7 linked regions of the Sus scrofa genome follow. The protein of the gene in region 1 purifies or fractionates together with the protein of each later gene. This does not show direct contact. Links are inferred from orthologs where the notes say so. Each region holds a gene or a part of one and is shown in the gene's direction. Other genes may lie near its edges.

Region 1 (4,057 bases):
GAATCATTGAATAAATGTATTACCGAGTGAGAAGTTACTGATGGCCTCCACTGACACAGGGGCACTGGGCTGGGCAAACCTCCTGTATGAACCGGGGTGGTGTATGTGTGTGTGTGGGCAGATGTGGAGGTTGTAAAAACATGCACAATCTTGGGGGCTGTGGGGTATCCAGGGGCTGGGGTGGGCCTCAGGGGACTAGGAAAACAGAGATGAGTGCATTTCATAAGCAGTGGGAGCTATGCCAAGCTCCTCCCAAGCTAACAATCCCTTTAGGTCCTCAGCTAATCCTCTAAGACGGGGACACTTTATTATTTCCACTGTACAAAGTGGATAACTGAGGATCTAGGGCATTAAGTTGGACATGGCCCTGAGTCAACTGAGAAAACTCCCTGCAGTTGATCACACAAACACCTACGAACCATCTCTTAGTAAGTACGAACATCCTGGGAACCGAGCGTACCCAAGACCCTGTCAAGGCCTCAGTCTCCCCTTGCTTCTGCCTACCTGAATTTTTTTTTTTTTTTTTGCTGCACCCCCTCAGCATATGAAAGTTCCCAGGCCAGGGACTGAATCCAAGCCGCAAGAGTGATCTGTGCTACAGCTGTGGCAACGCTGGATCCTTAACCCACTGGGCCTGGGATCGAACCCGCGCCTCCGCAGCGAGCGACCCCAGTCACTGCAGGGACAACGACGGATCCTTAGTTCGCTGCCCCACAGCTGGAACTCCTGCCTCGCTGGATTTTTTTTTTCCCCTTAATTTTTTTTTATTACTCAAATGAATTTATCACATCTGTAGTTGTATAATGATCATAACAATCTGATTTCACAGGATTTCCATCCCACAGCCCAATTACATCCCCCCACCCCCTAAACTGTCTCCTCTGGAGACCATAAGTTTTTCAATGTCTGTGAGTCAGCATCTGTTCTGCAAAGAAGTTCAGTCTGTCCTTTTTTCAGATTCCACATGTCAGTGAAAGCATTTGATGTTGGTGTCTCATTGTATGGCTGACTTCACTTAGCATGATAGTTTCTACGTCCATCCATGTTGCTAAGAATCTGCCTCGCTGGATTCTAAACGTCCTCCCTAGGCGGGCGTTGAGCAGAAACTACGCCTCCAGAGAGGCCTTGCATTCAAAACCACGCGAGATCTACCGAGGAGCGGGTGAGTGGTGTTTGCCCTCTTTTCGCGCAGCCAACCGCCGCTTTAGTAAGGCTCGGGCTGCCCTTGGCTCTGCCCCTCCCAAAGGTCGCTGCATTCAGGCTTTAGCTGACTACAGCCCTGTAAGGGTTGGGCGAGGTGGAGGGGGCCTGACAGCGGCGCGGCGCAGGCGCAGTGGGCACGGGTCTTGCCGAGCGCAGGCGCTGTAAGTTCGAGGGGGGCGGCAGCCATGGACGACGAGGAGGAGACATACCGGCTCTGGAAGATCCGTAAGACCATCATGCAGGTGAGACGCGCGGGGGCTGCCCTTAGTACTAAGCGAACGCTGTCCGGCGCGCGGACGGCCAGCGCGAGGCCCGAAGATGGGAACGAGCTTTTCTATGTCTGGCCGCGCGGCTCAGGGGAAGGTTCTGGCCCAGGTGGGGCCCGTATTGGGCCGGGGACAGAGGGGCCCCGCCGACCACTGCTGAGTGGCGAGTCCGAGAGACGCCGGGGAGAGGGTCAGGGTTTCGCTGGAGCTGGAGGGAGGGAATTGGCCTCGCGTGTTCCTCTTTCCGGAAAGTTATGGCACTGTTTTGAGGGCCTGATACAGTATTCCAGGATTGTGGATATGGAAGGATCCCTGGTTAGCTGGTCTCAATGCTGTCTGGTTGCCCTGACAGCGCGCCCTGGCCACCAACTTTGAGCTACTCGGGCTGATAGGCTCCAAGTCATGCCAGCTCCCTAGCTAAGCGTTCTCTGTGTGCCACGTGCTTTAGGCTACTCCACGGGAGGGGGCGATTGTGATCCCACGGAGGCTTCGGGCCTTGACTAAGACCACCCACCCTCGCCACGGCGGGGATCCTGCCTGGACTAAGCTGGGGCAGTGGCACCCATATTCTCCACCTCCTTGCAGTGCTACCCAAAGACAGGGTAGGAACAGCGTTGCTTCAGGCTGACCGTGTCGCGGGCCCTGGGTGAGAAGAGTGAGCGCTCAAGAGGGAGAGTCCGGGAGTTCCTGTTGTGGCTCAGTGGTTAACAAATCCAACTAGGAACCATGAGGTTGCGGGTTCGATCCCTGGCCTTGCTCAGTGGGTTAAGGATCCGGCGTTGCAGTGAGCTGTGGTGTAGGTCACAGACTTGGCTGGAATCCTGCGTTGCTGTGGCTCTGGTGTAGGCTGGTGGCTACAGCTCGGTTTAGACTCCTAGCCTGGGAACCTCCATATGCCGTGGGAGCGGCCCAAGAAATGGCAAAAAGGGAGGAAAAAAAAAAAAAGAGGGAGAGTCCAGCTGTGGGGTACTTGGCTGAAGAAAGGGGATTCCGGCAGAGTGGGTGGCTTTCTCTTTGTCTGGGTGGTCATCCGGTCTGTCCACTCAAAGAATCCCAGTTTCTGAGTCAGGACCTAGATCTGCTGGCCCCCAGGCCTTGGCCTGGTTTTCCAATAGCCTTCTGCCCCAGGCAGCCCAGCAGCACCTCTCCCAGACAGCTGTCCTTTTCTGCCCCAGACCCAAGGGCCTGGCCTTGGAATCAACAGCCCTCCTCACATCCCAGCCCTGCTCCCATCTTCCCTGCAGTGGCCTTGAGCACCCTGAGCCTTTGCTGTTCTCTCTGCACCTTGGTCACCTGATTCTTTTTCTCTGCAGCTTTGCCACGACCGTGGCTACCTGGTGACCCAGGACGAGCTGGACCAGACGCTGGAGGAGTTCAAGGCCCAGTTTGGGGACAAGCCCAGTGAAGGGCGGCCGCGTCGCACAGACCTCACGGTGCTGGTGGCCCATAATGACGACCCCACCGACCAGATGTTCGTCTTCTTCCCAGGTGAGGGCCTGCTCAGGGCAGCAGCAGCCACCTGCCCTGACACGCAGTCTGTACCCCTCATCCTTCTGCCTCTCTGCTGTATGTAGTGCCTCCACTGAGGCAGCCTGGCTCTCAACCCCAAAGGTAGGGGACCATGCTGGGTCACAAGCACCTTGGGGGCCCACCCTGGTGTGCCTCCAGGCAAGGGAGAGTGCAGAAAATGCCTGCTGAGCAGACCCAGAGGGCACTTTTAAGATTTACTTTATTGAATTATGTTTTACAATGTTATGTTCTTTTCTGGTGTATCGTAAAGCGATTCAGTTACATGCACATAATTATTCTTTTTCAAATTCTTTTCCGTTATGGTTTATTATAGGATATTGAATATAGTTTTCTGTGCTGTACAGTAGGACCTTGTTGTATATCCACCGTATGCATATAAGAGTTTGCATCTGAGAGTTCTCTTTGTGGCTCAGTGGTTAATGAACCCGACTAGGATCCATGAAAGAAAAAAAAAGAGTTTGTGCTTGCTAATCCCAAAATCCCTCAGTCCCCTCCCCGTTGGCAACCACAAATCTGTTTTCTATGTGTCTTTCTGTTTCACAGCTCATTTGTGTTATGTCTTATCTTCCACATATAAGTGATACCATGTAGTATTTGTGTTACTTCATTTAGGTTACTTAATATGATAATCTCTGGGTCCATCCATGTTACTGCAAATGACATTATTTCTTTTTGCTTTTTTAGGGCCCCGCCCGCGGTTTATGGAGAGTCCCAGGCTAGGGGTTGAGTGAGAGCTATGCCACAGCCACAGCAGTGCAGGGTCTGAGCTGAATCTTGTGATCTACACCACAGCTCACGGCAATGCCAGATCCTTAACCTACTGAACAAGGCTAGGGATCAAACCTGTGTCCTCAAGGATACTAGTCAGGTTCGTTAACCTCTGAGCCTCGACGGGAACTCCGATATATGTGTTCTTATTGCCATTTTATTAACTGTTTTGGGCTTGGGTTTTTTGTCTTTTTTCTTACCTTCTCTTGTGGCTTGATAACTCTTTTTTTTTTTTTTTTTTTTTTGTCTTTTTGCCATTTTTTTGGGCTGTTCCCACGGCATATGGAGGT
Region 2 (3,980 bases), on another chromosome or scaffold:
CATTCAACATGTCACTCATCACACATGCACTGGCTGAATTCCAGACTCCCTCTCTGTGGTAAGGAAGAGTTCTGGAGCCTCCAATGTCCACTGGAAAAACAAACAAACAAACAAACAAGCCACGGCACCTGCTCTTCTCAGCACTGAAGTATAGCAAAAAGCACACAGACACAGACACACAGCCAAATCATCCAAGCAAAACTAAAAGAGCGTGTAGATGAAACTACGACCATGAAGTTAGGGGTGGGGCAAATAGAGAAGAAAGAAAATACAGCAAAAGCCTGAAAAAGCACAACTCAAGTGAAAAGGCTAAAATACTGTTTAGGCACTTTTCACTGGACTCCACTGGTGTTTCTAAGAACTAAGACACAGAGACACACTTTAATAGGCTTTCTCACAGATTGTATCTGAGACACTATAAACACTGAGATAAGTAGTTACACAGACACCCTCTTAAGGCTGAACAAAGATACTTCTAAGGAAAAGAACAACCATAACTAGTTCTAAAGATGGTTGGCCAAAGGTAGGATTAACATTCACCCTGGTGGATCTCCCTGCAGTAGTAACTCAACCTAAAACAGCCTCTGGGCTTGGGGTGCAATAGCTGGCAAGCATGCTGCAGAAGCACTTTTTTTCCACAGCCAACAGCACTACCTCTCTAGGGGCTAACACAGTCTGGCAGAAACTGACGAAAACCAATTTTACGTCAGAGGATGCAGTCCCCAACATTCTGTCCTAGATCTTCTCACTAAGTGAAGAGAGAGAATGGGGGAGGGGAAGGAGGGGCGGGTAAGGCAGGTGGTGCTAAAGATACTGGCAGCATGACAACCAAAATAAGAGAGTTGAAAGAATATGTTCTGCCTTCTTCCTAAAGCCATTTCCTTCGACAGTGATTGGGATCGCAGTCCGCAAGTCATTAGTACACCGCTGTTTTCACTTTCACAAGAACGCTGGAAACCCCTGAAGAGTAAAATCCCCCTCTCTGCCCAGTTACCTTCCAACCCTCCCTCCCCCCCCCGCCCCGCTTTCTTCCCTCCTTCCCTAGAGACAATGAATAAAGACAATCCTCAGCAATCCGCTATATTGCTTCAATGAGGATAGTGGAAGGGGAGATCTGATGAAAAGTGGAAAAGGAAATAAAGATGAGAAGCAACAGCGGAAGGGGGGGGGAGGTCATTGTGGAAAGAGACAAGGTGAAGAAGAATGTAAGAAAACGGAGAGGAGGGGGTCAGCAGAAAACTTGCTAAGGAAAACCAGGAAAAAAAAAATAATAGAGGGCAGGTAAAAAGGGGAAAGAGTGAGGGACAGGTGGAGCATCCGAATGGAAAAAAGGCTGGGCGGGAGTTACTGAGCCACACAGCCCGGACGCCCGGGGTTTAGGAGACAGTGGGCAGCAGGTACCTGGGATACCCATGTCAGGGGAGTCGGGGCTGTGCGGGAAGCCTAAGCGCCGTTCTGGGACATCCGGACGAGGAACCCACGCGGACGCTGGCGTGCAGAGGACACACACTCTTACCGGTAGTTTGGGGCTGACCTCGCCCTTGCAAAAGTGGCAGAAAAACCGGTGCGCGGCAACAGCGGCGCCTGCGCCGGCCCCGGCCGCCGAGGCCTCCGCCATTTTTCTCTCCCGGCGCCGCCGTCCGAGAGGGCAGCCGGCCCGTCGCTCCCCAGGCCGCTACCTCCCGGCTACAAGAGACGCCTCTGCCTCCGCCGCCGCCGCTTCTTCAGCGCAGCTGGCCGCTCCAGAGTCCGCGCGGGTCACGTGAGCCCGCCCGGCCCACAAGGCGTCGGCGAGGACGGCGACCCCACGGCCCGCCTCCCGGCACCAAAGAGCTACAGGAAGGAGAGTCCGTCCGGCGCTGCCCTCCCGCCGGCTCCTCTAACACCCCTCGCCGGTCCTCCAACCTCCCAGCGAGAAGGAAGCAAGAGCGTCCCCGGAAACCACCGAAACGCTGGGGTAGAGCGGCACACGTTTTTCCTCTTTGCTGACCCTCCTCGTTGGCCGGGCTCCTGCGCAAAAGGGCCTTGGGGTGCCTTCTGCTCGAGCCGCTGGCTGGAGCCGCACGAGGTCGGCGGCGGCTTTAGATTGCATTGACCCAGAGGTTAGTGGAAAATGCGGTCTGAATGAGGCCGTTTCTCTAGACCCAGGGACCCAGTCCGGAACCGGAACCTGGGGGAAGGAAGTGTAGAATCAGGAGCCAGGTTCCTTGGAAATCCTTATCAAGGATGGCAGATGGTCTGGGGATACTTCCCCAAAGACCTGTGAGTGGGAATACTGAGACTGAAAGACACAGTCTTGGCTTCTGAGGGATTGGGAGAAATAAATGAACAGACCAGTGTGTGGTAGCACTTATGACAACAAGTGATTTTATAGTCAACTATGTTTGTTTCTTTTTGTGTCTACTTTGTCAAGGAGTAGAAATTTCAGAATACTGCCCTGCCAACAACATGCTTCATCTGTTGTTTGAAACACTCTGTTGAGACGCTCCTAATTTATTTTGCAAAGTTGTCATTTCTTACGGATTGGGAATGACACTTCCTGTTCACTCCCAATAGGCTGTGAATAGTGTCCTTAATTCCTCCAAATAAAATCATCTACACACGATATTTAAAGAAAATTGGACTCGTACATCCCATAAGGATAAGTTTGATATATTGTCTTGCAGTCTTTTTTTTCTTATACCTATAAGAAAAAAGGGGGTTTTTTTTTCACAATAATTTAAGTTTCTTCTACATTTTGCTTTGTAACCTGCTTCTTTCACTTAATGAACAATTTTGTACACTAATACATGTTACACTTCATTGTAAACATAGACGTAGTATGCCATTGTATGAGTCTACCATAATTTATTGAAATAATCCCGTATTGTTAGATATTATATTGTTTCTGGAATGTCAGTATTCTAAAGTGACATCATTATTATTCGCTTGAAACAAAATAGCCAAAGCAAAAGTATTAGGTCAAAGATATGCAAGATTTTAAGGCTTTTGACGTATCTACTGTCAAGTTGCCCTCCAAAAAGTACATGAATTTACACTTAGCAGCTCTACTCCAACATAAAAGAAAAACTTCCCATCGTGCTATTTTTTCTTTTCTTTTCTTTTCTTTTCTCAGGTCTGAGACTTCTCAGTACAATGACTCAAGCAGAAATTAAACTGTGTTCTTTATTGCTGCAAGAGCATTTTGGAGAGATTGTAGAAAAAATTGGAGTCCACCTAATCAGAACTGGCAGCCAGCCACTAAGAGTTATTGCCCATGACACAAGAACATCGCTGGATCAGGTATGTTTGGATCACACTAATTTGCTTTTATTTCATTAGTTTCCTTTACCTACCCTTGAATATTACTACTCCCCACCCCACAAAATACAAAAGAGAGCTACACTGAGATCAGAACAGTGTCATTGGGAGGGAGAGAGGATGAGACATAGTGCCTAAGGTTCTGCTTCTCAAAGCGATCTGGCTCACTGTGGCTTCTTAGGCAAACCTGTGCTTTTCATTTGCCATACTTCATTCATGCATGATGAGTCTATTAATTTCAGCACTACCTTTAAGGAATGGCAGTAACAGAGAGCAAGTAAGTTGTACTTTGTAAGATAAAGATCAGAGGAAATATGAGCTAGGAATCCTCCTGATTTCTTCATAAGATGAACAATGCGATTCTTAACAGCTATTCCAATGGAGAGAGAGAAGATGCACGGAGGTTCCAGCCATCTCCTGAAGTTTAGTAAATTGTTGGACAGAAATTGCCAACAATAATGAACTGCATTTTCCAATTTTTTTTTCTCTTTCTTTTGTGTCCTCTCTAGGTTAAAAAAGCCCTTTGTGTCCTCATCCAGCATAACCTGGTGATATATCAAGTGCACAAACGTGGTGTGGTGGAGTATGAAGCCCAGTGCAGCCGGGTGTTGCGAATGCTTAGGTATCCCCGGTACATCTATACTGCCAAAACGCTGTACAGTGACACTGGAGAGCTGATT
Region 3 (3,948 bases), on another chromosome or scaffold:
AAAACGCTTATCAAGGAGACAGTGTTTAGTAAATGATAACTGATATAATTATAAAAAAGTGGAAAAATTAGCAATTGATTCATCACCTAAAGACACCAGCCATTTTTAATTTTTGGCATATTTCCTTCCAAATACTTCAAACATACTAAAAATTCAGAAGAAAATAGACATCAGCCTTCCACTTTTTTTTTTCCTTTTTGTCTTTTTAGGGCTGTGTCTGCAGCATTTGAGGTTCCCAGGCTAGGGGGTCGAATAGGAGCTGTAACATCCTGCCTACGCCAGAGCCGTGTCTGTGACCTACACCACAGCTCATGGCAACACTGGATCCTTAACCCACTGAGTGAGGCCAGGGATAGAGCCTGAGTCCTCATAGATGCTAGTCGGGTTTGTTAACTGCTGAGCCACAACAGGAACTCTTTTTTTTTTTTTTTTTTTTTAAGACACAAAATTTCATAGATTAGGTGGCTGTATCACCCTTACCCTGAGGTCTTTTTTCCCCTATGCATTATTTTTCTTTAGATTATTAGAGTCACAACACATCATTTTCCATCTTAAAAAAAAAATCTGTCTTGAGCATTTCCCCAGCATATCAAATATGCTACAAGATTACTTGGGCCACATATATCGTACTGCATACTGTATGGCTGAAACACGATTTATCAATTTTCCATTGTTGGGTATGTAGGCTATCTCCCAGCAAAATTATCATTACACGTTGATCTTTCGTCAAGCATCTGATGATTCCATTTGGGCAAATTCTTAGAAAGGCCAGATCAGAGACTGTCAAGAAGTCTCTTCATAATTTTCTGACAAATAGTGAAGAATGGGAACAGGGAGAAGGGAGTCTGAGATTTTTTTTCACCTTTTAGAACGTTTTATTCCATTATAACACACATACAGAAATGTGCACATAAGCTACAGCCCACCGAATTTTCAGAAGCACCACCTACTCGGCGTCCAGATCCTGAAAGAGAGCATGTCCAGCAGCCCAAGGCCACCTCGCCCCTTGCCATCGCTACTATCCAAGGGGTGGGATTTTAACGCTGCAAATGCCTACGAATCCGATTACATCTTTGGATTAATACTTGGATATACCCTAGACCACGAAAACGTGAGCTAAATCCGTCTGCAAACGTTTGACAGCCTGAGGTCGGACCAAGAGCGCAGAGACGGGTCGGGAAGACGAGCCAGCAACGCCCCCGGCCCCACGGGGGTCCTCCAGGATCCCGGCATGCAGCGCGGCGATCCCGGCGTGCACCGCGGTCCGCGGAGTCGGTTTCCGGGCGCTTTGCTCGGGCGGCGAGAGCAGCGGATGGGCGGTGAGGGTCTGTGTCCGGCCGAAGGCGACGAGGCGGGGACGACATGGAAGTGTAAGCCGCCCGGGGCGCGTCGTCGGCTCAAGGGCGACGCTCAGAGCTGGGGACGGCTAATTCCTGGGAGCCGGGAGATGTGGGCCGGGGGCGATTCCTCGTCCGGGCGGGCGGGGAGGGCGGCGGGCCAGGAGGCTAGGAAGGGACTCTCCCTCCGGCCTTCTGAACCTTCGCCCCCTCTCCCACCGCGTGCTCAGGACGTGGGGCGAGGGCCACTTGGCCCGGCTGCCTTTAGGGGTGCCAGGTGTCTGTTCCCTCCCTCACGCACTCAACAGCGTCGCCAGGTCGCGGTGGGGAGCTGGGTATGAGAGCAGGGACTTATTAAACCCTGGGTCCGGCCTGGAAGTACCTGGAGGAGAGGTGGGGAAATGCTGGAGTAGAGTTTTGCTTAGGAGCAGTGGGCTTCTGGGGAGCCCGGATTCAGAGGAGGTGCTCTGCAAAGTAGTTAAGAAGCAGGTAGCCGTGTGGGGTTGGGGTGGGGGGCTAGGAGTAGAAGCCATTCTAACAATTGTAACTCCACATCGGCTTTTCCATGTTTGCTCCTTGTACTGCGTGCAGAGGGAAGTTTTTGCAGCTACTTTGTATGTGGATTTTTATACCTATGTTGCGTTCTCTTTGGCAACATGTTTATGTTTTGTTTGCTCTTTAGGGCCACAGGTGTGGCTTATGGAAGTTATCAGGCTAGAGACCAGGGATCAAACCCACATCCTCATGGATACTTCTCGTGTTCATTGCAGCTGAGCTAGGACAGGAACTCTGATTGTTTAATCCTGACATTTTCCTTTATGTTCTTTTACTTCATGTTTCACGTTTATATGTACTGTTTTGCAGACTTAAACACACACACACACACGCAGTTGGAGTTCCCGTCGTGGCGCTCGTTAAAGAATCCGACTAGGAACCATAAGATTGCGGGTTCGATCCCTGGCCTTGCTCAGTGGGTTAAGTATCCGGCATTGCCGTGAGCTGTGGTGTACGTTGCAGACGCGGCTCAGATCCCTCATTGCTGTGGCTCTGGCATAGGCCGGTGGCTACAGCTCCGATTCAACCTCTAGCCTGGGAACCTCCATGTGCAGTGAGAGCAGCCCAAGAAATGCCAAAAAGACAAAAAAAACCCAAAAAAACCCAAAAAACCACAATACGTATATGTATCTGAAGTGAAAGCTTCCTGAGACAGTGTTGTATACAGTAACTCTAGTAGTCTCTTCTATTAAAATAGAATGTTGACTCCTTAAATTGATTTTGCCATCCTCTATCTTAGGTTTGTTTATGCTGAGCCACCATGGGAACTCCACTTTCTATTCATTGATTTTTTTTTTTTTTTTTTTTTTATGGCCGAGGAAGTTGATGTTGTGGCTCAGTGGTTAATGAATCCGACTAGGAACCTTGAGGTTATGGGTTCAATCCCTGGCCTAACTCAGTGGGTTAGGGATCCGGTGTTGCCATGAACTGTGGTGTAGGTGGCAGACTTGGCTCCGATCCTGAGTTGCTGGGACTCTGGCCTAGGCTGGTGGCTACATCTCTGATTAGACCCCTAGCCTGGGAACCTCCACATGCTGTGGGTGCAGCCCTAGAAAAGACAAAAACACAGAAAAATTTTTATGGCTTCATGTCATTTGTAAGTTCCTGCCCCAGGAATTGAACCCAAGCCATAGCTGTGACCTGTGCCACAGCTGCAGCAACACTGAATCCTTTATTTTATTTAATTTATTTTATTACTTTTTTGTCTTTTCTAGGGCTGCTTCCCACGGCATGTGGAGGTTCCCAGGCTAGGGGTCTAATCGGAGCTGTAGCCGCTGGCCTACACCACAGCCACAGCAACACAGGATCTGAGCCTCATCTGCAACCTACACCACAGCTCACGGCAATGCTGGATCCTTAACCCACTAAGCAAGGCCAGGGATCGAACCCACAACCTCATGGTTCCTAGTCGGATTCGTTAACCACTGAGCCACGATGGGAACTCCAATGCTGCTGGATCCTTTAACCCGCTGCTCTTGGCCAGAGATTGAACCTTCACCTCTGTGGAAACCCAAGCTACTGCAGTTGAATACTTAACCCACTGTAGCACAGTGGGAACTCCTTCTGTTCATTCTTTTATTTTAATTTTTTTGGCCTCACCTGTGGCACATGGAGGTTCCAGTACCAGGAATCGAACCTGCACCACAGCAGCAAGCCACAGCAGTTGCAATGCTGGGTCCTTAATAACACCCTGTGCCACAGAGGGAACTCCCATTCTTTTACTCTTGAACTTAATATACATAGGGAGAATGGACTCTTCTCTATAATCTGTTTGAGATAATATCAGAATTTCCTTCATTTTATAGCTGGAAATACTGAGATTTAGAGAAGTTAGCTAAGAGGTCCTTAAGCAATTCAGTAACAGGACAGAAAAGAAGGTAATTTGTTTGCTAGCTCCTAAGACAGTGCTGCAGTTTAAATTGTTCATTGAGGGACTTCCCATTGTGGGACAGCAGAAATGAATCTGACTAGTATCTACGAGGATGCAGGTTCCATCCCTGGCCTTGCTCAGGGGGTTGGGGATCCGGCGTTGCCATGATCTGTGGTGTAGGTCACA
Region 4 (4,139 bases), on another chromosome or scaffold:
AAAACAGAAAGAGGCTCACAGACACAGAGAACAGACTTGAGGTCGCCAAGGGGAAGGGGGCTGGGAAAGAGACGGAGCAGGAGGTTGGGGTTAGCAAATGTAAGCTATTATACATAGAATGGATAAACAACAGGGAGCTATATTCAATATCCTATGATAAACCATAGGAAAAGTATATTTTAAAAAGAATGTGTGTTTATAACTGAATCACTTTGCTGTGCAGCAGAAATTAACACAATATGGAAAATCAACTACACTGCAATGGGAGTTCCTGTTGTGGCACAGCGGAAACAAATCTAACTGGTAACCATGAGGTTGCCGGTTCGATCCCTGACCTCACTCAGTGGTTAAGGATCTGGCGTTGCCGTGAGCTGTGGTGTAGGCTGCAGACACGGCTCAGATTCTGCATTGTTGTGGTTGTGGCATAGGCCGGCAACTGTAGCTCCAATTAGATGCCTAGAATGGGTACTTCTATATGCCAGGGTTGTGGCCGTAAAAAGCAAACAAACAAACAAAAACTATACTGCAGTAAGAAATGACAAAACAGGAGTTCCCGTCGTGGTGCAGTGGTTAACGAATCCGACTAGGAACCATGAGGTTGCGGGTTCGGTCCCTGCCCTTGCTCAGTGGGTTAAGGGTCTGGCGTTGCCGTGAGCTGTGGTGTAGGTCGAAGACGTGGCTCGGATCCCGCGTTGCTGTGGCTCTGGTGTAGGCCGGTGGCTACAGCTCCGATTCAACCCCTAGCCTGGGAACCTCCATATGCCGCGGGCGCGGCCCAAGAAATAGCAAAAAGACAAAAAAAAAAAAAAAAAAGAAAGAAAAGAAATGACAAAACAAGACACTGCAGTGTAGAGTTCACTTGTAGGGCAGTGGGTTAAGGATCTGGCATTGTCACTGCAGTGGCTGGGATAGCTGCTGTGGCTTGGGTTCCATCTCTGACCCAGGGAACTTTCACATGCCACAGGCATGGCCAAAACCAAACAGACAAGGAACACCCCCCCCCCGCAGTGTATTTCCACGAAGGCTGTGTACTGTACAGATTTGTATGGGGCCCACTTCTACCACTTAGCAGCCCATGGCCTTAGACAAGGTATGGAATTCTTTTTTTTTTTTTTTTGTCTTTTTGCCATTTCTTGGGCCGCTCTCGCAGCATATGGAGGTTCCCAGGCTAGGGGTCTAATTGGAGCTGTAGCCGCCATCCTACACCACAGCCACAGCAACGCTGGATCCGAGCCGCATCTGCAACCTACACCACAGCTCACGGCAACGCCAGATCCTAAACCCACTGAGCAAGGCCAAGGATCGAACCCGCAATCTCATGGTTCCTAGTCGGATTCGTTAACCACTGCGCCACAACGGGAACTCCAAGGTATGAAATTCTTTTAGTCCAAGCCCATGTTAGCTATCACATGAAGATGAGTGAGACTGGAATGTGGTGAGACAGAACAAACCAGGGCTGGAGGAGTGGACAATGACAAGACCACGCAGGGCCTTGTGAGCTATGATAAAGATTTTGGACCTTATTGCTAATTCAAAAGTAAATCAGTAAGGGTTTTTTGGTTTTTGGTTGTTTTTTTTTTGTCCCAATTTATTATCCCTTTTCAATTGAGATGTAATCTGAATTACAAGTAAATGCAAAGATCTTAAGTCTTGAGGTCGACGAGTTTTGACAACTGTCTACACCTGTGTAACCACCGGCAAAAAGAAGATACAGAACATTTCTATCATCCTATAAAGGTCTCGCCTGCTCCTTTCCAGCCCAGTGTCCCCGATTCCAGAGTATTGAAGGGTCTAGGCATACTGTGTTTGCATTTGGAAGGGCCGGCTGCAGCGTCGAGGTAGGCCTGAGCCAGGAGAGTACTGCACAGGTCAAGCAGAGATGGCCCGGTGGCACAGAGGTCGCCTAGCAACCTGAAAGCGTTGCCTGGGATTGACGATTCCACGCAGGCGGAAGGGGTGGCCCCGTCCCGAGCAGACCGGTACGTAGCCCCGCCTCGCGACGGGGCGGACCGAAGCTTCTTATTGGTCGGTCTCCCGGAAGCTACCGGATTTGGACTATCGTCCGTAGTAGTGCTGCTGGCGTGGGTCCGCGGTGCGTGGCGGAGGCACGTGGTGCGTAGTGCGTGGTGTGTGTGGCTTGACTGGGCTGCGCGCCCCTCCCGCGCGACCAGGAGGTCCTCCCCGTGGAGCCTCAGCTTCCTCTGCTTGCAGTAGAGGAGCACGCCCCTTACGGAGATACCCTAGGCCCCGGCTTCCAGCTCCGTTGCCGACCTGGGGGGCTCCGGGACTGGGACCGACAGAGCGGGCTCCGGCATCCCCGCCGCCCCGTCAGCGACTGGGACCGACAGAGCGGGCCCCGGCATCCCCGCCGCCCCAGGTGTCTGTGCGTGACTGACACTCGCGTTCCCAGAGTCCCCCGCGCAGGCGGGATGTTTGTCCTGGTGGAGATGGTTGACACCGTGCGGATACCCCCGTGGCAGTTTGAGAGGAAGCTCAACGACTCTATTGCCGAGGAGCTGAACAAGAAATTGGCCAACAAGGTACTGACTGGGTCCATGGGGTCGCTGGCCGGCCTTGGCCGGAGAGGGCCCAGCGCTGCTTACTTGCCCGCTTTCGGCCTGTCGGTGCCAAGCCTCGGCCTTGGGCAAGTAGCCTAACGTCTCAGAGCTCGGTTTCTTCACCTGTGCATGGGATAGGGGTAATCCTTACCCCACAAGAATGTTGGAGGGAATCAAAAGAAAAACTGGGCTTGAAAAAAAGGCCGTCGTGGAGTTGCCGTCATGGCTTAGCGGAAACGAACCTGACTAGTATCCTTGAGGACACAAGTTCGATCCCTGGCCGCAGTGGGTTAAGGATCCAGCGTTGCTGTGAGCTGTGGTGTAGGTCGGAGACGCGGCTTGAATCTGACGTTGCTGTGGCTGTGGTGTAGGCTCCGATTTGACCCCTAGCCTGGGAACTTCCATATGCCGCGGGTGCAAAATAACCAAAAAGGGGGGGGGGGAAGGGGGAAGGCCGCTGCAAGTGGGACCCTTCCGAATTATTTTGCTTTTTTTTTTTTTGCTTTTTTAGGGCCTCATTCGCGGCATATGGAGGTTCCCAGCCTAGGCGTTGAATCAGCTACAGCTGCCGGATCTACGCCACAACCACAGCAACCAGATCCCAGCCGCCGTCTGCAACCTACACCACAACTGCAACGGTGTATTCTTAACCTGCTGAGCAAGGCCAGGGATCACACCTGCAACCTCATGGTTCCTAGTTGGATTCATTTCCGCTGCGCCACGATGGGAACTCCTTACTTTGCAGTTTGGGGCAGGTCATTTACCCCATTTGGGCTTCAGTTTCCATATGTAAAGTGGAAATAATAATTGCTGTCCAACCATCCATTGTTTCTGGGAAGGTGGATGGTAGTTTAAAGTTGGCTGTCACGTTTATTTCTGCAAAAGAACGCTTGTGCACCTTTTATGTGCCAGGCCTGCATGCCTTAGTGCCAAGTCGTCAGAGGCCTTCCCACTGCCTTTTCTTTTCTTTTTTTGCATTTTAGGGCCACACCCATGGCATATGGAAGTTCCCAGGCTAGGGGTTGAATCAGAGCTGCAGCTGCCAGCCTACACAGCCACAGCAACAAGGGATCCGAGCCATGTCTGGGACCTACACCACAGCTCACAGCAACACCGGATCCTTAACCCTCTGAGTGAGGCCAGGGATCAAACCCAAGTCCTCATGGTTACTAGTCGGGTTCGTCAGCACTGAGCCGCAGCAGTAACTCCCTCTCATTTTTTTTTTTGCTGGCCCGGCCCTCGGCGTGCTGAAGTTGGCAGGCCAGGGATTGAACCTGTGCCACAGTAGTGACAATTCCAGGTCCTTAGCCCCTGAGGTAGTAGGGAATTCCTGTTTAGTTGATTTCTGTTTTTCTCTTTCCCTCTCCATGAGAGCATGAACTCTTGTCTTCTTCCCCTCTGTCCCCCATATTTACGTAAGTGTTTATTGAACGAATAAAAGACAAGCTTTTGCTCTGTAGTCTCGTGGGAAAAGCAGATGTGAGCAAGCGATTCCCACAGTTGAGTGTCTTTAGACAAATTGAGCTAAATGCTATGAAAACAGGTGTTCGCGAACCCATGGAATGACAGAATTTCACCTGC
Region 5 (3,500 bases), about 20 Mb from region 1:
ATATATTATGTCCTTAAGATTTCATAATACAAAGAGAAATGGGTATTATTATTCCTTACTTACCAATGAGGAAGTCAAGGCTTTAAAATTTTTACTTGCATAGCCAAGTTGGCATAGCTGCATGGTAACAGAAACTCATTAAATTTTATTTTTGACCAGTACTTGAGCTAGAGATGGCATGTCTGAAAATCAAGCCAGAAGGATTATTGAAGGAATAGCAATAACTCTCAGGTTTAACTGTGGTGGAATGATGGATGGGTGTGCCATTTTATATTGATTGAACACAGATTCTGATTATTCTTAAAACTTCCTGGAAAGAAGTTGCTAAGATGACATGTGCTATAAGGAAGATTGATCTGGACCATTGGATGTGGTTTCTCAGCAGAACAAATTGTGTCTCCTTATTCCTACATTAAAACACCTTATTTTCAGTATACACATTGTTAAAACTGGAATTTTTAAGTCTAGAAATCCCCAGGAGTTAGTGGCTAAAATAGAGCAAAGTTAGCTTCCAGATGACTATTATTGTTTATTTCTTCAGCAAAAGTAGTTGTAAGTTTGTTTGTTTGTTTGTTTGTTTGTTTCTTTCCTTCTTTTTATCTGCTTTTTAAAGGGTGGTACTTGTGGCATATGGAGGTTCCCAGCCTAGGGGTTAAATCAGAGCTGCAGCCACCAGCCTATGCCATAGCCACAGCAATGCCAGATCCTTAACCCACTGAGCAAGGCCAGGGATCGAACCCACATCTTCATGGTTCCTAGCTGGGTTTCTTAACCACTGAGCCACAAAGGGAACTCCCAGTTGTAAGTTTTCTTTAATAAGGCTTCTGTGAGGAGAGGGAATGACATATAGTCAGATCTCATGATTAATGTGTGAATAATCAAACAGCAGTAAACTAATATTTGAGCTTTTTATTCTGCATGATACAAATGTAGGTGGCTCTCTCTAGGGTGGTCTATAGTATTTAAACCAGAAGAACTATTTCCTATTCATAAATTAACTGTTTTTGAAGTATTTTAATATTGTATTGCTCACATTATTAGTGAAACACATGTAAAGTAGTAGCAGTAAGTAGTTACATCTATGGCGACTACTAAGTAGATGAATCAAAACTAATAGCTTGGAGTTCCATGGTTGCTCAGCAGGATCCGGCACTGCCACTGCTGTAGCTCAGGTTCTATCCGCAGCCCAGGAACTTCCACATGCCTCTAGTGGAGCCGAAAATAAAAATAAAAAACCAATAGCTTAACACAAAAAGAATGACACAATGAGACAATGTGTGTGCCTCTGCAGTCTTTTTTCTAAATTTCATAAATATGATAATTGTTAACTGATTTAGGTATTTTATTGGTTTGATTTGGAGGTATGTGGTAGTAACAAAGTTGAGGTTATTTAAAGATATTTGCGGAGATCCCGTCATGGCTCAGTGGAAATGAATCTGACCAGCATCCATGAGGACGCAGGTTCAATCCCTGGCCTTGCTCAGTGGGTTAAGGATCTGGCATTGGCATTAGCTGTGATGTAGGTGACAGACGCAGCTTGGATCCTGCATTGTTATGGCTGTGGCATAGGCTGACAGTTACAGCTCCCATTTGACCCCTAGCCAAGGAACCTCCATATACTGTGGGTGCAGCCCTAAAAAGGCAAAAAGAAAAAAGATATTTGAGGTGGCAGTAGTGGAAATAAAAATCTCCTAGTCCCTATGTAGCACTGAATGAATTCTCTATCTAAAAAATATTATACGTAACTGGTTTAAAAATCCTATTGCTAATTATGAAGTAATAGCTAATAGCATGATTTTTTAGACATAGCATATTCCTTGTACAGAGTTAAGTAAATATAGTATCATAGTTGCCTTTGAACAACACAAACTTGCAGGTTGTAGGCCTTTTTACTATAGTTTGATTAAAAAAGAAAAACGTTTTGTGTATTAATTAATGTTAACATAGCATCATTATGTGTGTATGTGTGTGTGTTTATAGACACTTCAAAAAAATCGATAAATACCATTTTGTTTACTTCCAAAGGATGGCCAGTTGGGAAAAATTGCACACAGTATATTGTAGTAATAACTTATATAAAATAATATGTGTCAGTATGAAGATAAATCATCTTATGTCTATTACTTCGGTCTCAGTTTTTCTATCTTAGTAGGGAGGGTGACAGGAAAGTGGAGTTTGAATTTTTATTAAAAATTGAGTCTTTCTGATACAGTCTTTCATTGTCTTTGATTTCCTTAAATTCAAATTTGAATGTACTTAAAGGAATTTTTAAAAAATAAATATTTAAGAATCAATAATAGAATAGTTAAATTGTAGTCACTGCAAATGCAAAATATGTTTTCTTTTTTCTTTTTACGGATGCACCCATGGCAGAAGTTCCTGGGCTAGGGGTCAAATCAGAGCTGCAGCTACAGGCCTATGCCACAGCCATGGCAACATCAGATCCTAGCCGCATCTGTGACCTAGCCCACAGCTTGTGGCAACGCCAGATCCTTAACCCACTGGGTAAGGCCAGGGATTTGACCTGCATCTTTAGGACACTATGTCAGGTTCTTAACCTGCTGAGCTGCGATGGCAACTCTTGTTTTCTCTTTATATCTAATCTACAGAGCAAATATCTTGTAGAGTATTTATAGATTTATAAAATAGTGTTCTGATTACTGATTAAGAATAGTCATATTTTAGTTAAATGTTATCATTACATTCTTTTTTTTCTCTTTATGTCAGGAGGAAAACAAAATAACACTTTGAAAGTTCTTCTGTATAAACCAAATCAACTCTATTTTAGAAGGAGTTAGCATAGAAATCATAAAAATAAAGCATTGTACATCTAGAGCCAAAATCCCAGCATTACCTAAGACCCACTTTTGAAGTATCAAAATCATAGAAAGTACCAGGGTAATGACAGGCCAGTATCTCCTTTCTTGAATTAACTCACAGAGTCCTAAGTGGTGGTCTGGAGGTGTTGGGAAGGGAAGATTAGATTAAGGTGATAGGTAACTCTTTACCTGAGGTTGAGCAGGGAAATCAGAGTCTAGTGGTTTCCATTTAAATTAATTAAATGCATTTATGCCAGGAATTGGAAAAGAGAGGTGATGGTGAAAAATCAGATGAGGAAAATGAAGAAAAGGAAGGAAGCAAAGAGAAAAGTAAAGAAGGTGATGATGATGATGACGATGATGCTGCAGAAGAGGAGGAATATGATGAAGAAGAGCAAGAAGAGGTAAGGGTCTATTTGGGGAGGGTAACAAAGTTACTAGGCTTAAAGATGATCAAATACAGAATCAGATATATGGTAAATACTTAAACAAAAACCAAGTTGATGGGAATCAGGGGTACATTATCATCACTGGCATCAATCCTTGGTATCAAGAGAATTATAGCATTGGAATTGTAATGATACCAATTGAGATGTAGGAGGCATAACTTGATGGCAGCTTTGTAAGTGGAAGTCCACCAGTTAAGGAAATTGATCAGATTAGTGTAACTAAGATTTATCT
Region 6 (4,197 bases), on another chromosome or scaffold:
CCGCTGCGGATTTCCTGGCAAGAAGCAAACTCCAGCCAAGACTTCACTTCTCAACCGCCCCTGCTGCCTTCCCCCGGGCGGACGCCAGGGCCGAGCCGCGCAGCCCGACACGCACCGGGGCCAATCGGCGGCAGCACAGGGCGGGAGGGGGGCGGGCCAGAGGGCGGCTCCGCCTATCCGGGAGCTCGGGGGGCGGGCCGGGCCGGGGCTGACACTCCGGGTTAGAGTGAGCCCGCTCCGCCCCTCGCCGCCCGCCCTCCCCACTCCTCGGCTGTCCCTGCCGCTCGCCTGATTCCCCAGCAGAAGACGCGCTCGGGAAGTGCCTCAGCGCTCACCGCCGAACGCTGCGAGGAGAGGGGAACAGCTGGGGGCGGCGGCGAACATCGAGGGGGATCGGGGGTGGGGTAAGGAGAACAGGTGGCGCAGGAAAGCAGAGCTGTAGGCGTGTTGGGCTGGATGACAGCGGGGGTCGAGGGGTAGGGAGCGGGGCTGGCCGGGGTGAGGAGGCGAGGGGAGCAGGAGAGCGTGGAAGGCAGAAGGATTATTAGCGAACGGGAACACTAGGGGGGCGGAGAGCGGAGAGGCGCGAAGGGAGAAGGAGGGCGGAGAGCTAGTCGGACGGTGAAAGGGGGCGGGGGCACCTGGGAACAAAGGTGAGAGGGAGGTTCCGCAGGTGAGGAGGTTTATGAGGCCAAAAGGGTAAAGGGGAAAAGGACGTCCCAAACGAGGCAGGGCGTACTCCAGGGAGATCCTAAGAAAGGATTGGGGGAGTGGGGATCGGGTGGAGATGGTTTCCTTCCAAACTCTCGCTCCTCCCCCCCAAAATAGAAAATGCGTGTCCTTTGACCCCGTTGAGGGGTGCAGCTGCAAGATTCCGGATGAGACAAATACAGTCTTAAACCCATCCTCTTCAGTTGTGAAATTCATCAAAGTGTGCTGATTAACTATAATTTAAGTACGTCGTCCCATGAGAGTCCCTTGGGGGGCAGGGGACCCGCCTGGGACTAACTGTGTCCCCCACAGGTCTAGCAGCAAGTCAGAAGGAGGCCTGATCCTCGCTCTAAGAAGGGGAGTTTGGGGGCCACAGGTAAGGCCCCGCCCCCTTCGCCCGCACCTGGAGGAAGGCACCGGGGGCTGAGCTCCGGCGCCCACCGGCCGGTGCCGGCCTTGGGGCGGGGCGGCAGCCGGACCCCACCCATCTCCCCGCTAGCCCTCCCGGGAGGACTTGCTCTGGGAGCGCAGGTGAGCGGCTCAGGCCTCGCCACGCCCTCCTCGCGCCGGGGGCGGGGCGGGTGGGCGGGGCCCGGGCGGAGCCTCCACGCCCCGCCCAGTGGCCGGGCCCTGCCGCGCCGCTGCGGCTCCTCCCCCCTCCTTCCGTCCGCGCTCCTTCCGTCGGTCCTTCCTTCCTTTCTTCCTGCTGCGCCCGCACGCTTCGCGGTATGGGGCAGAGCCTTCGGCGGGCCGGCACCACCTGAGGATCCCGGAAGCCGCCCCCGCGATGGAAGAGGACCAGGAGCTGGAGAGGTAACGGCCGGGGAGTGGGGGCAGGAGAGGCGGGCCGCGCCCTGCCCTGGGAGCCGGCGGCCGGCCGGGGCCTCAGCCTCCGCGGCCCGGCCTAGCAGCGAGGGCCTGGCTGGGAGGACAGGCGAGGAGGAGGGAGCGGTGGGCGCCAGGGTGGGGAGAGGGAAGAGGGGGCGGGAGACCTGGATGGTTTGAATGGAGGCGCTCAGTGCTCTAGATATCGAGGAAGGAAGACAAGTTGCGAGACCAGAGTTAACTGCCCACCCCCCGCGTTGGAAAAGCAAGAGGAAGCATAGCTAACGTTCCGAACCACGCACCGTCCCCTGTTACCGGAGCGATGGGATTGGTGTGTTGGTCGGGCCCAAGTCCCTCCTCCGTGTAGAGCGCTCTTTAAGCTACTCTGCGCTGAGTGCTTTTTCTCCCTCCTGCTTGATGACTCTTCTCAGACTTTCCTTTCTAGTTTCCTTACCTCCTGCACGTTGAGGAGCTTTAGTTTCTATTTTTATAGTCGCGTTTTCCCACGCCTTTCAACTCCCCTTCCATCCTCTGGCAGGGCCCACCCGTTTCTAATAATAGCCCTTTCTTGTGACTCTACCAAATAAGATTTAGCAAGCTTTTTTAACGACACTCCCCTCGTGGCCATGTGGAGGGCCAAATGGCGTAGGGAGAAATTGGAGGCGATAAATTAAATATTGGTAGAATATGTGGAGGCAGGAAAATAAAAGGTTCATGCTAACAGTTCTCTGTAACTGCAGTGCATTGGAGTAATAGCATGTTACCATTGTGATACCGTAGATGAAAAAAGCTAGATACGAAAGCATATTCAGTATGATCTCATTTTTGCAAAAAATGTGTGTAGAAAAATATCTGGATTGAAGACCCCAATGGCTGAAGGCGAGAGGAAGACAGCCCTGGAAATGGTCCAGGCAGCTGGGACAGATAGACACTGTGTGACATTTGTTTTGCACGAGGAGGACCATACCCTAGGAAATTCTCTTCGCTACATGATCATGAAGAACCCGGAAGTGGAGTTTTGCGGTTACACCACAACCCATCCTTCAGAGAGCAAAATTAATTTGCGCATACAGACTCGAGGTGCCCTTCCAGCTGTTGAGCCCTTTCAGAGAGGCCTGACTGAGCTCATGAATGTCTGCCAGCACGTGCTTGACAAGTTTGAGGCCAGCATAAAGGCATATAAGGATCATAAAGCCGGCAGAAAGGAGTCCACCTTCTAGTCCCTTATGCCCTGTCCAGGGAGGACTGACCTCTAGGAGACCGTATTGGTGCTGTGACAAAGCCCAGAAGTAAAAGTTTGCGATGACAACCTGGTCTGTCCTGCAGAAGAGCCTGCCTCTAGCTCTTAACCATTTCCGCTGTTGGAGTCCCTGCAAGAACCCTCTGTATTCTTCTAATAAATTCCCTCTTTCATTCAAACCGATTTGAGTGGTTTCCGTTCCTTTGTCCTGGAGGTTGACTATTTTAGGGTTGGTGTTTTGTTTTCCTAATTGAACCAACACTGAAAGTGAGGAAACCATGAGAAAATCAGGGGCCTAGACGAGGACTTGGATGCAGGGAATTAAAAGGAATGTGCATGCACAGCTGAGATCCGGGGAGCGAGAGCCGCAGCAGAGCCTGACGCCAGAGACACCGTGGATGGTTTAGAAAAGGAAGCTGGGAGTGAAGGAAGACTTGGCCTCTTCCTCGATGTTGTTTAGAAATTCATGAGAGAATCGCGTCCTTCGCTGCGACCGGTAGATGGGGCAAGGGTGGGGAATAATTTGAAAGAACTGTGAGAATTCTGGTTTCACGGGAGGACCTTCGGTGGCATCAGGTGCCATCTCTGTGGCAGCATTTCTAGGATAGATGCTGGCTTACTGCTTTAATTTCAGGACACTACTGTATTAGAGAAGGAGAAAACTGGGGTGACCAGGTAGTATTTTCAGCCCTTAGGCTGGTACCTCCGTCTAGCTGAGGCTTCCATCAGTGAAGCAGTATTTGAGGAGGAAGATTCTAAGAGAGGAAAAGGGTTTTTTGGAAAGCCTAAAATACTAGCGAGGCACCTGAAGAGCTGCCCTGTTTACCTCCTGAACCTTGTGTCTCCCACCTGCCCTCCCCACCTTGACTCTTAAATCACCCTAAGTATCTGTCAGCCTTTGAACCTGCGTACTCCACTCCCCAGTACCCTGAGAGGGGGCCTACCTTAACTCTGGACATCAGAGAGGCCCTTCCAGAGATTACAGGAGAGAAGGCGCTGGCTCTGCAAAAAAGGAAAGGTGGTCTAGGGAAGAGCATGTGCAAAGGTCCTGGAGCAGAGCACTAGCAGTTCGAGGAATTAATGGTATTGCAAGATTTCCGTATCTGTAGCATGGCAGGCAAGGAGGAGAAAGGCCTGCAGTAGCCTCGGAGGGAAGGTCTTTGGGGTGGTAAGGAGTTTGGGGGTGAGACGTCTTGTGAGTAACTGGTGCCAGTGTGGTGGAGTGGACTGTAGAGGGGTCAGGAGAGAAGCAGAAAAACCAAGAGTTGAAGTGGCGTGGAAAGGGCCCTAAGCTACTGTCTGAGGGGCAGACTGGTACTGGATGGCAGACCTCAGGAACTGGATGTAGAAGGTGAGGAGAGATGCCTCCTACCTTGTTTGGAGCCAAATTACTGGAACAGAAAGCTTCGAGGGGGAAACTG
Region 7 (4,221 bases), on another chromosome or scaffold:
AAACAAAAATAAATTAAAAATTTTTTAAAAATAAATAAAAGGGCCCTAGAGAGATCCTTATGGTGATAGAAGGTGTTTTGATTGACAATGTTGATATTCTGGCTTACAATATCCTACTATTGGGGAAACTGAGTAGAGAATTTGGCTCTTCGCATTATTTCTTACAACTGCATATGTATCTATTATCTCAAAATAAAAATTTTTACTTAAGAAAAAGTGCATCTTGGAGTTCCTGTAGCCGCTCAGCGGTTCATGAACCTGACTAGCATTCATGAGGACGCAGGTTTGATCCCTGGCCTCGCTCAGTGGGTCAAGGATCCCTCTTGCCATGAGCTGTGGTGTAGGTCGCAGATGCGGCTCAGATCTGGTGTTGCTGGGGCTCTGGTCTGGCGGCAACAGCTCCGATTAGACCCCTAGCCTGGGAACCTCCATATACCACCACTGAGGCCCTAAAAAGAAAAAAAAAAAAAAAAAAAAGTACATCATCTTGTGGCTAGGTATCACAAATTTGGAAATTCACCCTAGGAATATAATCCAAAAGAATAAAAAATTTTAAATGCACCAGGTGTTCACTACGTTGTTATTTACAACACTAGAAAAGATATAATTTAAGTGATCAAACCGGAAAACAGACAAATCATGATAATTCATGAGAATTACGCGCAGTCGTTTGATGCAGCAACGAAGAAAGGTTATTTGAAATGGGAGGATTCAAAATTGTGGTACAATAAGAAATCTCTGAAGGGGATTGGAATATAGCAGAAAAGTTTTAGTAGTTACTCCATGTGTGATTCTAACAAAAGTCTTCCTTCTCTCAAGCTTTCTGTAATGTTGTTACACGGTTTTCACATGATTTGGGGGTGGGAGGAATGACAGTAGAGAATCTTTTTTTCTAGGTTAAATTACAAATGTTGGAGTCACGAGAAAAGTTATTTAAAATTGCCCCTCCCAGTAGAGCAAACTTCGTTTTTCTGGTTCCAGGATTGGACCAAGAATGCACACAACGGCCCAAAGTCACGAAGCCAGGGCAGGTGCCGTTAGGCATTAGTTGCTCCAGCGCTGTGCCCGGTAAGGGATCCCTGAACAAGAGCGAGGCCTGGCCCAGAACTCCCCGATTCTGAGTCGGGGGTCTTGCTTTCTACACCGCGTCCCACGCCCCATCGTGAGCCTCGACCCGGATGCTCCACAGCAGCGAATCCCCACATTGCATCATGTTCGCCGCCCGACCCCCAGACCCAGAGCTGAACGGCTCCACTTCACGCTCCGGGGCACGACCCCCAAGCGCTGCAACGTGGCGTAACCTAAACCAGTCCCCTCTTCCTTTTTCGCCCTCTCAACCCAGCTTTTCCCGACTCCGGGAAGAACCGGGAAGAGAAGGCGGAGGGGAGCGAGGAGCCGCGGGATAAATAGTGTGGCCCAGCCCCACCCCCCGACCTCACTTCCGCCCCACGGCAAGATGGCGGCGCCCGGGCCCTGCCACGCAGACTTCCGCCCGGCGCGGAGGCCTAGGGTGGGCTGCGGGTCGCATTGGATGTGAAGTCTGGACGCGCGAGGTGCGGAGCTGCAGCCCAGGTGCGTTGAGGTGCGTCCGTGCCTGGTGCCTGGCCGGGGGGACCAAAGGAGAGAGCGAGCCAAGGGCTCTAGCGGGGGTGGTCCGGGGAGTCTCGCCACGTGGGAGGAGGAGGAACTGGGACGCTGCGGGAGGGCCGCGCTGACTGGGGGGCAGGAGGCCACGTGGGTGGGGTTCCGGCCAGGGTCCGCATGTCCTCCTCCTTCAGTGACTTCTTTACTCCTTTCCTCTCTCTGCCCCAGGCAACATGTCGGAAGGAAACGCCGCCGGCGATCCCAGCACTCCAGGAGGGTCCCGACCCCTCCTGCCCGGTGCCCGGGGGCTTATCGGGAGGAGGCCGGCGCCTTCCCTCACCCCAGGCCGCCTTCCCTCCATCCGCTCCAGGGACCTCACCCTCGGAGGAGTCAAGAAGGTACCCGAGGGCACCATTCTAAATGAATCCAAATGCCCTAAACTGCAGACACCTTTGACTGAAGTACCTGTAGGGCCTTCAGTATGGCAGGCATAGCGTTAGGCCTCACGAATCTTGCCTGCAATATCGGGGAACCTGCCCCTACCTTCCAGTCAAGCTACTTACTGGATACAAAATGTTGTCATGGCTCTCAGAAAAGGCTGAAGAGCAGAGAATCCTAATTAGATCAAAAGCACTTTGAGCAGTGTTCATTTCCTTTTTATGTGTGTTTTGAACATCCTTAAGAAAGTGCTGAAAGGAGTACCCATCCCGGCTCAGCGGAAACTAATCTGACTAGTATCCATGAAGATGCAGGTTCCATCCCTGGCCTTGCTCAGTGGGTTAAGGATCCCGCGTTGCCCGTGAGCAGTGGTGTAGGTCACAGTATTGGTTCAGATCTGGCATGGCTGTGGTGGAGGCCAGTGGCTACAGCTCACATTTGACCCCAAGCCTGGGAACCTCCATATGCTGGGGGTGCGGCCGTGTGGCCCTAAAAAGAAGATAAAAAAAAAACCCAAAAAGCTGCGAAAGCCACCCAGGCATAGAGTTTGCCTGCAGTTTTAAAGAGCTCTGAATTTGCTGTGGTTCCCAGTGTGCAGACATCTGATCCAAAGTATTATGAGTCCTAGGCATGGTGTTAGAGGCTCTGTCCCCTTGTATTATGTTTAATTGCCTGTAGATGTAAAGGATAGCCCTTAAAGGGGGGATGGGGAGGATGACAGAACATAAAGCAGACAGTTTTTGTCTTTTTTTTGTGGGGGGGGCACACCCTCGGCATATGGAAGTTTCCAGGCTAGGGGTTGAATCGGAGCTGTAGCTGCTGGACTCTGGTTCATTACTGCTGAGCCACAATAAGAACTCCAAGCAGCCAGTTTTTGAAGGCATGAGTTTACTTTGGGAAATTCTAGTGGCCTTCTGACCCAGTCATTTGCTTATGAGTGCTAATTAATTTGTCTTCCCTACTGGAGCCTTGTTGCTAGAGCTCTTTCCCTGTGATACTACGTGGTCTCTGTAGCAGTTTGAAGACAAGGAGTGAGATTAGGGAAATTTCCTTATTGTTAGAAGTCCCGAAGTTCTCCTTTCAGAGGGCAGAAGCTGAAGCTGCTGTTTAAATGTTTTTTGGTGCCTGTTTCTTCTATATGTAATTCCACTGCCACTATGATGTGACTTTCTTCCTTTTCAAGCACATGTACAGGAGTTCCCTTTGTGGCTCAGTGGGCTATAAACCCTACTAGTATCCGTGAGGATGCCAGTTCCATCTCTGGCTCCGCTCAGTAGGTTAAGAATCAGGCATTGCTGGAGTTCCCATCATGGCACAGTGGTTAAAGAATCCGACTAGGAACCATGAGGTTGCGGGTTCGATCCCTGCCCTTGCTCAGTGGGTTAAGGATCCAGCGTTGCCGTGAGCTCGGGTGTAGGTTGCAGACACGGCTCAGATCCTGCGTTGCTGAGGCTCTGGCGTGGGCGGGTGGCTACAGCTCCAATTAGACCCCTAGCCTGGGAACCTCCATATGCTGCAAGAGCAACCCAAAAAGACAAAAAAAAAAAAGAATCAGGCATTGCTGTGAGCGGTAGTGTATATGACACAGATGCGGCTCGGATCCAGTGTCGCTGCGGCTATGGCTTAGGCCAACAGCTGCAGCTCCAATTCGACCCCTAGCCTGAATTTGCTGGGAATTTCCATATGCTGAGGGTGTGGCTCTAAAAAGAAAAAAAAAATTGAGCATATGCCCATTTCTGTAAATCTTTGACAACGGTGTGGCGTGTGTAGAATAAAACCTTGCTGGTCTTTATCCATAGAAAATGCCCTTTGGAAGTTTTTATTTTCCTCTGTGCTTTGGGATCAGAACTTAACCAAATCAGTAACTCCGGTATTTTACTTTCAGAAAACCTTCACCCCAAATATCATCAGTCGGAAGATCAAGGAAGAGTAAGTAGCCAGACCTTCTGAATACTTGTTCCTTATTTACATACTTGGGCTTTGGGGGAAGGAAGTAGGTATGTGGTTCAGAAATTTAAGTTTATAAAAAGAAAGAAAAAAAGAGAAATTTAAGTTGATAGATTTAGTTCTTTTCAGTAGTTATTTTCAACCCTGGCTCCCAGGGGATTTTTTAAAAATTTTTTATTGTAGTTGATTTTTACAGTGGTCTGTCAGTAGGCTCCCAGGGGATTCTGATGTGCAAGCTTTAAAAAAATACTG

Evidence for each region.
Region 2: the proteins of POLR2E (region 1) and POLR3C purify together in Homo sapiens (affinity purification with mass spectrometry; 4 studies listed by BioGRID and IntAct, counting the BioPlex papers as one, with this or other methods). This does not show direct contact. The link is inferred for Sus scrofa from reciprocal best matches to the Homo sapiens genes POLR2E and POLR3C.
Region 3: the proteins of POLR2E (region 1) and CRCP purify together in Homo sapiens (affinity purification with mass spectrometry; 3 studies listed by BioGRID and IntAct, with this or other methods). This does not show direct contact. The link is inferred for Sus scrofa from reciprocal best matches to the Homo sapiens genes POLR2E and CRCP.
Region 4: the proteins of POLR2E (region 1) and POLR3H purify together in Homo sapiens (affinity purification with mass spectrometry; 6 studies listed by BioGRID and IntAct, counting the BioPlex papers as one, with this or other methods). This does not show direct contact. The link is inferred for Sus scrofa from reciprocal best matches to the Homo sapiens genes POLR2E and POLR3H.
Region 5: the proteins of POLR2E (region 1) and POLR3G purify together in Homo sapiens (affinity purification with mass spectrometry; 3 studies listed by BioGRID and IntAct, counting the BioPlex papers as one, with this or other methods). This does not show direct contact. The link is inferred for Sus scrofa from reciprocal best matches to the Homo sapiens genes POLR2E and POLR3G.
Region 6: the proteins of POLR2E (region 1) and uncharacterized protein LOC106505238 purify together in Homo sapiens (affinity purification with mass spectrometry; 4 studies listed by BioGRID and IntAct, with this or other methods). This does not show direct contact. The link is inferred for Sus scrofa from reciprocal best matches to the Homo sapiens genes POLR2E and POLR1D.
Region 7: the proteins of POLR2E (region 1) and POLR3D purify together in Homo sapiens (affinity purification with mass spectrometry; 6 studies listed by BioGRID and IntAct, counting the BioPlex papers as one, with this or other methods). This does not show direct contact. The link is inferred for Sus scrofa from reciprocal best matches to the Homo sapiens genes POLR2E and POLR3D.

What each region holds. Positions count from the first base shown.
Region 1 is NC_010444.4:77,329,498-77,333,554, forward strand, and holds the start of POLR2E (DNA-directed RNA polymerases I, II, and III subunit RPABC1), read left to right. Parts: upstream 1-1,257; 5' UTR 1,258-1,388; coding exon 1,389-1,445; intron 1,446-2,782; coding exon 2,783-2,957; intron 2,958-4,057. UniProt on the Homo sapiens protein: DNA-dependent RNA polymerase catalyzes the transcription of DNA into RNA using the four ribonucleoside triphosphates as substrates.
Region 2 is NC_010446.5:99,491,338-99,495,317, reverse strand, and holds the start of POLR3C (DNA-directed RNA polymerase III subunit RPC3), read left to right. Parts: upstream 1-1,180; 5' UTR 1,181-1,516; coding exon of another isoform or gene 1,517-1,618; 5' UTR 1,619-2,102; exon of another isoform or gene 2,103-2,146; intron 2,147-3,110; exon of another isoform or gene 3,111-3,115; 5' UTR 3,116-3,135; coding exon 3,136-3,282; intron 3,283-3,809; coding exon 3,810-3,980. Other genes in the region: E3 ubiquitin-protein ligase RNF115, read right to left, coding at 1,517-1,618. UniProt on the Homo sapiens protein: DNA-dependent RNA polymerase catalyzes the transcription of DNA into RNA using the four ribonucleoside triphosphates as substrates.
Region 3 is NC_010445.4:16,619,206-16,623,153, reverse strand, and holds the start of CRCP (DNA-directed RNA polymerase III subunit RPC9), read left to right. Parts: upstream 1-1,148; 5' UTR 1,149-1,362; coding exon 1,363-1,370; intron 1,371-3,948. UniProt on the Homo sapiens protein: DNA-dependent RNA polymerase catalyzes the transcription of DNA into RNA using the four ribonucleoside triphosphates as substrates.
Region 4 is NC_010447.5:6,998,351-7,002,489, forward strand, and holds the start of POLR3H (DNA-directed RNA polymerase III subunit RPC8), read left to right. Parts: upstream 1-1,339; 5' UTR 1,340-2,429; coding exon 2,430-2,540; intron 2,541-3,745; exon of another isoform or gene 3,746-4,139.
Region 5 is NC_010444.4:97,679,256-97,682,755, forward strand, and holds part of POLR3G (DNA-directed RNA polymerase III subunit RPC7), read left to right. Parts: intron 1-3,076; coding exon 3,077-3,223; intron 3,224-3,500. UniProt on the Homo sapiens protein: DNA-dependent RNA polymerase catalyzes the transcription of DNA into RNA using the four ribonucleoside triphosphates as substrates.
Region 6 is NC_010453.5:5,042,963-5,047,159, forward strand, and holds the start of uncharacterized protein LOC106505238, read left to right. Parts: upstream 1-1,397; 5' UTR 1,398-1,498; coding exon 1,499-1,524; intron 1,525-2,380; coding exon of another isoform or gene 2,381-2,756; exon of another isoform or gene 2,757-2,959; intron 2,960-4,197. Other genes in the region: POLR1D (DNA-directed RNA polymerases I and III subunit RPAC2), read left to right, coding at 1,499-1,524, 2,381-2,756.
Region 7 is NC_010456.5:6,519,592-6,523,812, forward strand, and holds the start of POLR3D (DNA-directed RNA polymerase III subunit RPC4), read left to right. Parts: upstream 1-1,421; 5' UTR 1,422-1,572; exon of another isoform or gene 1,573-1,582; intron 1,583-1,812; 5' UTR 1,813-1,817; coding exon 1,818-1,982; intron 1,983-3,907; coding exon 3,908-3,951; intron 3,952-4,221. UniProt on the Homo sapiens protein: DNA-dependent RNA polymerase catalyzes the transcription of DNA into RNA using the four ribonucleoside triphosphates as substrates.